2 linked regions of the Caenorhabditis elegans genome follow. The protein of the gene in region 2 interacts with the protein of the main gene of each other region in a pairwise test. Each region holds a gene or a part of one and is shown on either strand. Other genes may lie near its edges. The genes, in order: gpa-13 and nhr-114.

Region 1 (4,933 bases), 8.6 Mb from region 2:
TGAGGTTGAAGATTGTGAAGAAAGAGCATAGACTGGAGTCCATTTTTTTGGCATTGAGGCAATGGTTCCATTACCGAAAACCCACTGAAATTATTTTTTGAAATTATGTATCCAAGATGTACAGTTCCAAAAATGACTTTTTTTCCGAAACTGTTTTGTCCTTCAATACAAAGAGCTAGCTAAATTTTCCAAAAAGTATTTTTCATAATTTTCAAACAACTAATTCGCATTACACCTGAGCTACAATTTAACTGATAAAACAGGATTCTGTGAAGTTTTTTAAAAGTTTTGAAGAAATGTTCTTGTTATGAGTTCTAATATTTCTATTTTTTCAATGTTACACATTATTGGATTTTTCATACCTGACAAGTAGATAGTTTTGGTGAAGCAGCAGCAGCATTCATTCTTCTTGGTTTCTTTTCTACTGGCACTACAGCTTCAGTGAAAAAAAGAATGACAATAGAAGTTAATGATATCATTATTCGCAATACTAGGAACTGCTGATTTCTTTTTAGCAAAAATAATTTTCACTTAAATAAACTTAATGTTAAAGAAGATACCATCGGCATTTACAAAGTGTGTATAATTAAAAGGCGCAGAGAGATATTAAGATTTAGACCGGTATGTTATTAGCATATCTAATCAATCGTCTTTCTTTTTTCAAGAAACACTGTGAAAAACCAAAGAATAAATCTTTCTCTTTCACTTTTTTGCAACGTTTTCCTTTCGTTTATTGGGTGACAACATAAGTGTTGACAAGTGTGGGAATTAAATAAAATTACATGTGATGAATTGATTGGATTTCAATTAAAAATATAAATTAAATATTATACAAACAGTAGTTATTTCTTTCTTTTTGCAATATCTTTAAACACAGTTGATAACAATTCGGCCATCATTTGTGTGTCAATTGCAATACATCGATAGACACGGTATAGGGACCTGTCACGTTTACCAAGAGCTTCGCATGCAAGATTTTCCATAAAGTCTATTGCATCATCTTGATCACCACCTGAAACAGAAGGTAAGGCACTTATATAAATAATTTAACTTGATTTCAACACCAATTTTATATGAGACTCTCCGTAATATCCTTACCTTTAAAATCCGGTTTATACTTTGATAATGGAATGACGCTGAGTTTTTCACAGAAAACATCAATTTCATTCAAAAACAAATAGATTGGAGTTGTTGCAAACGCTGGGTCTTCACTGATTGATTGCAACAAATTCAGAGCGTCATCTAATCGATTCTAAAATTAATAATTTATAGATTCCTCTTACGAAGTTTGAAATTACCGTAACCATATCCTCGCTCATCACTTGATCATATTCAGAAATTGCGATGCAAAAGAATATTGCATCAATCCCTTCATATTGTAAAGCCCACTTCCGTCTATCAATTTTCTGTCCACCAATATCAAATAATCTGTAACTTTTTTTTTGATTTCCGCTTCAATTCCTCAAAGGAAAATGTGACTCACTGAAAAGATTGATTACAAGCAGTAAATATGACATTTTGAACACCACAAGTTGGAACATAAGCCATGATGAGATCTCTTTCAGACGGCTTATAATCCACCATATTTATCTTATCGATATTGTTAAGAAAACTGCAATTAAAAATGGTAATCTTCTGGATGAAAAGGATTAGTTTCAAAAAGTCTGGAAATTATTCTTGCACTTGTGAAAAGCGCAAAATTTTGCTCTTATGATCATAAATGTTCTGAATTCGAAAGACAGGGAAATGCAACTCACTAAGATGCTGAATCATTCAAATTAAATTGACTCCGTCGAGCGTAAAGTTTTTGCATAGATTTGTCATTCCAAATGTGTTTTATCTTTTCAGCCAAATCTTTTGAGAATAAACCATAATGACCATGTTCATCAGCTATTATGGATTGAGCACGACCCTGCAAATATATAGATGAGTTTTTCGTAATTTCTTTTAGGTTTCAATATTATAGTTCAAGTTCCCTCATTTTTAGAAATTGATAAACGGTCACGAAGACCAACTTATTTACCAATTTACGAAAAAAAAAGCTTCGATGTACCGTATTTTTCCTATTATATTTGCGCCCTCCTTTGTTTTACTTTAACGGCTCATATCTTGGTTGTTTTAAGTCTTATCCACAAAAAAATTACTGTGAAAATGTAGAAAAATATTTTTCAGGTATTATGTCAGTTCACAATTTTTTGTTAAAACAAAATCCAACTGAGATATGATCTGTCAAAGTAGAATAATACTGAATATAAATTTAATTCCAAATTCTTTTTAAAATAATAATACCATATTGATTGGGTCTGCAAATTGAATATCGGACATTCTCATGGCACGACATAACGCTTTGATACTTTTGAAAATATTGTGATAGATGAATGCACGTCGATGAAAATATTCAGACTCTGTGAAATGTTGTTTATAGAGCAACCGGACTTGCTCCAAAACGGTTGTTTTTCCGCTTTCTGCGGATCCTGAAATGAATAGAATTGGATTAAAATGGAATTGAAAATGAATACAAATTTACCGAGAAGAAGTAGTCTAATATGGCTGTATGGATCTTCCGATTTCTGAGAAGCGGGAGTAATTGAACGAGATGCACGAATTTCGGGAACTTGGAGCTGAAAATAGACATGAATTGAATTGAGGTGATCTCAAAAAATTGATTATAATAACGGTGGCCTCCTATAATTGCTTCAAAATACATACCGCAACTTGTGGAGAAATAGATGGTGGTGGAACAGGTGTAGATTCCTTTTTTTCAACAACTTCTTTTTCCGCTGAATGCTCAATTGGCTCAATGTTCTCTTCTTTTCCTATCACATCAGGTTCCGGTATTGGTTTGTCACAAGCAGCCGGAACATCAGACACCTGAACCAATTAAGTTTTGACAACAACAAAAAAAAACAAAAAAAGTTAAATTACTAAAATCCAAAAAGCTTACCTTACTTTGAGAAGAAAAGTTGCAACCCATTGCAATTGCTCACCACATTTCCTAAACTGATAAAGCTGAAAATTGGCATTCATTCTATTACAATAATTTATTTTTTTTTAACAAAAAAAAAACGAATTCTGATGAAAAAGAAAAACGAAGAAGTGCCTGAAAAAAGATGAATAGGAACGCAATTCCACCCGATTTCCTTCCTTTCATCGTCGCGGATATATTTTTCATACAAATGGAAAAGAGCAGAAAAATAAAAGAAAGAGAGTCAGTCAGTAAGCCAAGGAATATAATACCTGGTCGATTGGATGAAATCCACGTACTTTGAGGAAATAAAAACCACTACCGCTTTTGGTTTTTTCAGAAACTTTAGTTGAATTGGGAAGTGTGTAAAAAGAGATCGGTTGGATCAGAAAATATTATTCGTTTCAAGATTACATACAATCCAAACTTAGTCAACATACGTATGAAAAATCAAACCACGAAATATTTTTCCATGTCATTTCATACATGAATGACTGCAAGAATACTAATGTCTTAAAAGTGAATATTTTTTAGTCTTTTTCAAACTTAGTTTATCAAAAATATTTGTAAAAGTTACAAATTTTTTCAATAACGCGACAAGTACAGTTTCCCTCCTTTCATGTTTATTCTTGGACAAAAAAAACTTCCCCAAGTTTGGTTATGATTATGAACGCGTGCAAGTTTTCTGAGTTTGTCTAGTTGTATAAATTTGCTTTAACTGCAAACCAGGGGTGTGCGGCAAATCTCAAAATTTGCGGAGCTCGGCAAATTCGGCAAATCTCTTTTTTCAATATTTGCCGAGCACGGCAAATTCGGCAAATTTGCCGAGCTCGGCAAACGGCAAATTCGGCAAATTCGGCAAATTTGCCGCACACCCCTGCTGCAAACCACCAATTATCGCTTCTTAATTGAATTCCTATTATAATTAAAATTTAAATTCAAGCCAAGTGGCCAACAAACCTAGAAATTAATGACGAATTCAGCTTCACTGACAGCTGATCTCAGTTTGAAATTATTTTTACTAAGCTTCAGAAAGATACCATACAATTGAGTTATTTTTGAACACCATTGTTGAACGTACTGCTAAAATCTGTGCTCAAATACATATGTGTATTTAAGCAATATCATAAGCAATATCAGAATTCGTTCAGTTAGTATTAATTGCAGAGATTTGAGTTTAAAAATCTAAAATCTAAAATATCGGGTATATAGTTCTTCCATTCCGCCCATATTTAAATACAAAATTTTGTAAGGGATTATCTGTATACGGTAGTTCTCCTTTGCGAAGATACATATTTTGCAGTCACTGCTTCAAATTTTCATTCCAATCACACTTTAGAATAAAATGTTTCTATAAGCAAATGACATGTTTTATAAAGTCAATAAATATTTAATGATATGGTTTGAAAATTGACATGAGAGACGTAGAACGGAGTGTGAGCTGAAAAGAAAAAAGTGAAAAAGCATAGCACCCCAGTGGGCTCACTCTATCACATAAATCAATGTGGCTCGTGAGAAAGAAAACGAGATTAGATGTCGTCGTCTCAATGGAAGAAATTGGAGGAAAAAGGTTGACGAATTCAGAAGGTATCTTTAGAGATTAGATTAATTCACAAGCAGTTGGGTTAGATTTTACAAGATTAATTTCTGTGAGTCAGTATATGAAAAATTTGAGACGAGATGGTTAATCCTCCCGAAGGAACTTGTTAAATTTTGATGCTTGATATGAATTTTTTTAATAATTCAAATCAAAACGAGTATCGTATATCGTATATCGTAGATTAGAACATGAAAACGCCACTTTTTATTGGCACCTGTAAATAAACGGTGCCAACCTGAAAAGTCTAAAACATCTGCCAAATATTTCCAATGAAGCTTTCCAACTAGACGTTTAGATTAGTCAGAATTGTTGATCAAACTTTTATATTATTTGATCCAATTTGTTTAGATCCCTGCAAATTATATCTA
Region 2 (5,440 bases):
AAAAATTGAAGAAAACCCTATCCGGATTTGCCGGAAATTTTGATTTTTGGCAAATCGCCGGTTTGCCGGAAATTTTCATTTTTGGCAAATTGCCGATTTACCGGAAATTTTGATTTTTGGCAAATTGCCGGTTTGCCGGAAATTTTCATTTTTGGCAAATTGCCGGTTTGCCGGAAATTTTCATTTTCGGTAAATTGCCGGTTTGCCGGAAATTTTGATTTGTGGAAAATTGCCGGTTTTGCCGATTTGCCGGAATTTTTCGTTTTCGGGAAATTGCCGGTTTGCCGGAATTTTTCGTTTTCGGGAAATTGCCGGTTTGCCGGAATTTTTCGTTTTCGGCAAATTGCCGGTGTTCCGATTTGCCGGAAATTTTCAATTCCGGCAATTTCGCCGATTTGCCAGAAAATGTCATTTTCGACAAATTGTCAGTTTGCCGATTTGCCGGAAAAATCGTTTGCCCCCGACCCCTGCTTTGAATTATGAACAAAAACCTTCAATCAACTTTAAAATAGCAATGCAACATTTTGAAATTAAAATTTGCAATCAATTTTTTTTGTCAAAAAATGTTCTAAAAATTGAACTAATTTTGCCAAAAATTTACCCCAAAAATCCCGTAATTTCAGATGACGACTGCATTATCACAGGACGAATTTACGGGATTTCAAAATTCGGAAATACAGAAAGAAGAAGACGATGACGACGATGAGTGGGGAGATTTTGGAGAAGCCGTTGTTGCTGCTGCACCAATTCAGGCGGTAAGAAAAAAAAGTTAAAACTTTATTGCAAAAAAAATACCAAAAAAAAAAAATAATAATAAACGTATATAAATAGGATTAGCATTGAGATTTTTTTTCAAGCGTGTAAATATTTCTGGAAATTAATTTATTAAATTTAAATTTATTCACTTCACAATTTGTGAGCAACAACGCTCGTCGTATCACCGAAAAACAGTTGCCGGGCAAACGCCGAGAAGCCGATATTCTCGAAAAAGTCTGCAATCCACACGGCCTCTTTCGATTCGCACGCCATTTTTGACATGGACGTTCCCATCAGAACCAATCGTGCGAATCTGCAACACGGGGATGAAATTGTGATCTATCAGTGCCGGGGGCTAAAAATTTTGGTAAATTGCCGAACTTTTGGTACATTCTCAAAATTTTAATAAATTGCCAATTTTTTGATAAATTGCCTAAATTTTGGGAAATGTTCAAAATTTTGGTAAATTCTTAAAATTTTGGTAAATTGCCAATTTTTTAATAAATTGCCAAAACTTTTGGAGGCACCACCGAAAGGAGAACATGTGAAAAAGGAGAATTACGAAAAGGAGAACACAAAACCACGCCCATTTTTCCATGCCGCGCGCAAGTTTTTGCAGAAACTTGTGCAAATTTTTATTTTCAAACGAGATAACGCGAAGCTCCGAAAGAACGTATCGCGTGTTGTTTATCACACGAATTCGTTAGTTCGGATCTTCGTTGTCTCGTTTGAAAATAAAAATTTGCACAAGTTTATGCAAAAACTTGCGCTCGGCACGGATAAATAGGCGTGGTTTTGTGTTCTCCTTTTCGTAATTCTCCTTTTTCACATGTTCTCGTTTCCGTGGTGCCTCCCAAAATTGTGAGAATTTTTCCAAAATTTTAGCATTTTACCAAAATGTTGAGAATTTACCAAAATTTTAGCATTTTACCAAAAATTTGAAAATTTAGCAAAATTTAGAGAATTTACCGAAATTTTGGTCAAAGTGTTCCAACTTAGCTTACTTAGCTAGTCCGCAACAAGACACATCAAATTGTGATCTATCAATGTTTGATTTGATCGACAAGCGAGTAATAGATGAATGCATCAAAGGAAGGAAAAACGTGATTTCACCAACCTTTCGATTGCCGTGTCCACGTCGTCTTTCATGGCCATGTAGCCGTATAACTGCTTGGTGATGCGGACTCGTTCGTTGTTCACAAGCTTGCGAGCCGGTAGAGAGATGTCAGCGTCTGGAATCGCATCAAAGTGAAAGTTTGGCTCTTATTGAGATTCCGCCCGGACCTGGATTCAGAAACGTTACCGCTTTGAACGCTGCAAATTCGGTTGCGTCGAGCTGTAGATCACGGAACGGCTTGAGCACGAGATCCAACATTTGATACTTTTTCCTGTTGAGTCCGGCTGGCCTATAACGATTGAACACAACGCGGAACGAGACGGGAATTGGGGCTCGGTTTGGAGTATATGTGACCGACAACTTACCGGGTTGGCTCTGGAGTACGATCGAAGTAGGCACCATCTGGGAATACAATTGTGTCTGGTCCGTAGTCCGGGGAGTTCCAGACTTGAACCAGGACTGGGACTGTTATTGCGGCATGGCGAACAAGTTCGGCCTGGAAAGGATTGAAATAATTAAATCGTTATACATGTTTCTGGTTTTCTTCCAACCTTATCTTGATAATCGAGCGCCTCAAAAACATCGAATGTTTTGGCATACTCTGTCAACAAGAACCAGTCTCTCTCGTGCCAATAGTGGTAGTCGTCGTGATTGACGAATCGTAGATCGAAGATCTGATGTCTCTCACTCGGCTGTCCCCACTTTTCCAAAAAAGCCGTGTCGTTCAGCAGAGCCTTTGAGCATAGAGCCTCGTGGAGAGATCGGATTGGAAGATATTCGGAGAGTCGGAGATCATTTGCACACTTTTCGCGTTCGGCAAGAGTTTGTAGGATGCAGCGACGAGGTTTCAGTGGTGCAGCTTGGAAAAGGAGTGGCGAGATTGGTGGAGGCTGTAATTTGGGATCACGTGGTGTCAGAGTTTCTCATTTCGGCTTGATCTACGTAGATCTATAGAAAATGCGGGAAAAGAGACGCAGAGTTCTCAACTGATTTTGCATGGTTGAGAACGTGCTGACGTCACACATTTTTTGGGCAAAAAAATTCTCGCATTTTTTGTAGATCAAACCGTAATTGGACTAATTAATTACCGATAGCTGTAATGGAGACACTGATGGTGGGGTGCTTGCTCCTTCGTCACTTGAACAGTCCGAGGTAGTCTTCAGCTCTTTTTTTGGACGCCTGGTACGTTTTGTGTATCCGATAGGGTCACGGTTTTGTTGGAGGGCGTTTCGGTCCATTCCCACGCTCAAACATTTCTCGAATCGGCAGTATCGGCAGGCACAGCGGATAGCTGAACTTTTGAAATATTTTTTATAAGTTCCTTGTTACTGCTAACAAGTGGTGTCAGAGTGTCCCATTTCGTTTTGATCTACGAGAATTGCGGAACTGATTCCGCATGGTTAAGAACGTGCTGACGTCACATTTTTTGGGCGAAAAATCCCCGCATTTCTTGTAGATCAAACCGAAATGGGACAGCCTGACACCAAGTGTGCTAAATAACTCACTTTTATCAACTGGACAATTGCCCTCGAATTGGCAAATGTACTTTTGTTTCTTCATAATTGTTCGCCGGAAAAATGTCTTGCATCCGACACATGACGGGACACCATAATGGTAGCCAGAAGCGAAATCTTGACAAACGAGACAAACGTGATCACGAGACGAGCTCGGAGACGATTGAGGTGTCATTTTGACCTGAAATACGCCTTGTTTGTATTGGTTTTTTTTGTGACAACGAGAATAATGCCAAGAGACACTAGACACGATAACAAATGCAAAGTGCCCCCGAATCGATGCGTTTTAGAGATAAAATGAAGGAGAAGAGGAGAGGTAAACTACAACAATTGAACTGTGATGTGAGACAGGCTAGGGACAGCTGTTGCAAAAAAACATTTGAACTTTTGATTTCTAATCATTTGAGCAAACTTTTTTTGAAACAATGATTTGCTGGGTGGTTTTGGAAGTTTTTTTGGAAAGAAATCAAGTCCTTGATGAAGTGACTCGGAAAAACGGGCGGTCAAATGATTGTTCATTATCAACATATTAACAGGCTGCCTAAGAAATGAGAATAGAAGACCTTGAGATGTATATTCTATATATGTCTGATATCAACGTGAAGATCGAACTGTCTTGCAATAAAACACAGTGGCTTGGGGCCTGCTGCTGACCAGCAGCTTCATCGCGTCCTCATGTATTTTTCACACTACCCCCTCCTCCTCTCAATTTCCGATCGTCCCCGTCGTCATACGACAAAGATTTGGGACGTTATCGCTGCCCGTTATATACGATTCTTCTTGACCAATGAACAAAGTACATGCGATGGGGGGGGGGGGGGGGGTGGAGCCTCTCTTGGAAAATGCCACGAGAAAACCACGCCATGTAATGTTGAAGAAGGGAAGATTTGATAAAGAAAGAAGTCTGCACCTACCTACTATGTGAGAAGACTTTTGTACACACAGACTGTAGCAGCAGCAGCAGAAGAAGAAGCTACACGTGGTGGCAGAGTGTCTCATTTTGGATTGATCTACGTTGATCTACAAAAAATGCGGGTGAGAAGAAACGCAGAGTTCTCAACTGTTTTCGGATGGTTAAAAACGTACTGACGTCACACATTTTTTTGGGCGAAAATTTCCGCATTTTTTGTAGATCAAACCGTAATGGGACCGTCTGGCACTACGTGAGCTAATCAATTTGTCTATGATACAGGAGACATGAAGAATGAGAAAGTTGCATTGTTAGTTGCTGAGAAATAGGCGAAAATTCGTCCTATTAGATGTTTTGGTCATTTGATTGCTGATAAGACACTGATAAGTGCTAATCAATTTAAGAATTAGTTGTTGGTAAATTTAACCATCTTATGATTAAAATAAAAACATCAATATTTGTACAAAAAATTCTGAGAATGCGTATTGCATAACATATTTGACGCGCAAAACATCTCGTAGCGAAAAAGAAGACTACAGTAATCGTTTAAATGACTTCTGTAGTGCTTCTGTGTCGATTTACGAGCTCGATTTTTGAAATGAATTCTTCTTTTCGAATATTGCCGGTCCAGAGAATGAGGAAAGTTGAATGGACACAGATATTCCGGAACCCAAGGTTGCGGGAAGAGCCGATTTGTATGGATTTACGGAGAGTTTGTGAATAAAAACACTCCGTAAATCGACAAAAATCGTCTCTTCCCGCGCCCCGCCCCTTGGGTTCCGGAATGTCTGTGTCCATTCAACTATCTACACTCTCTGTACCGGTAATATTTGAAAAGAAGAATTTAATTAAAGAATCGATCTCCCGTAAATCGACACAAAAGCACTACAGTAGCCATTTAAACGATTACTGTAGTTTTCTTTTTCGCTGCGAGATATTTTGCGCGGCAAATGTGTTGCACAATACGCAGCATTCTCAGAATTTTTTTTTTCGATGTCAGCGTGGCGAGACCCATGCGCGCAGGATACGCCGAAAATGCTTTTATTCAGACTTCAAAGCGACTTTTTGCAAAAATCCAAAATTGTCCTAAATTTCTTTAAAAAATCACAAACAAAATGAAAAAAAAATCGCGGAAGATTGCAA

What was found.
Region 1: the proteins of nhr-114 (region 2) and gpa-13 interact in binary tests that used the Caenorhabditis elegans proteins (3 or more experiments, as listed by UniProt).

What each region holds. Positions count from the first base shown.
Region 1 is NC_003283.11:12,751,920-12,756,852, forward strand, and holds gpa-13 (Guanine nucleotide-binding protein alpha-13 subunit), read right to left. Parts: upstream 3,021-4,933; 5' UTR 2,975-3,020; coding exon 2,945-2,974; intron 2,872-2,944; coding exon 2,710-2,871; intron 2,622-2,709; coding exon 2,528-2,621; intron 2,475-2,527; coding exon 2,290-2,474; intron 1,913-2,289; coding exon 1,758-1,912; intron 1,613-1,757; coding exon 1,484-1,612; intron 1,429-1,483; coding exon 1,299-1,428; intron 1,253-1,298; coding exon 1,099-1,252; intron 1,013-1,098; coding exon 843-1,012; 3' UTR 684-842; downstream 1-683. Other genes in the region: C15C8.8 (uncharacterized protein), read right to left, coding at 1-84, 363-479. UniProt on the Caenorhabditis elegans protein: Guanine nucleotide-binding proteins (G proteins) are involved as modulators or transducers in various transmembrane signaling systems.
Region 2 is NC_003283.11:4,185,331-4,190,770, reverse strand, and holds nhr-114 (Nuclear hormone receptor 114), read right to left. Parts: upstream 3,569-5,440; 5' UTR 3,563-3,568; coding exon 3,379-3,562; intron 3,165-3,378; coding exon 2,962-3,164; intron 2,764-2,961; coding exon 2,425-2,763; intron 2,370-2,424; coding exon 2,239-2,369; intron 2,163-2,238; coding exon 2,041-2,162; intron 1,989-2,040; coding exon 1,874-1,988; exon of another isoform or gene 1,761-1,873; intron 1,070-1,760; coding exon 907-1,069; 3' UTR 767-906; downstream 1-766. Other genes in the region: Y45G5AM.9 (Aftiphilin clathrin-binding box domain-containing protein), read left to right, coding at 624-755. UniProt on the Caenorhabditis elegans protein: Probable transcription factor which may have a role in detoxifying dietary metabolites arising from bacterial tryptophan metabolism.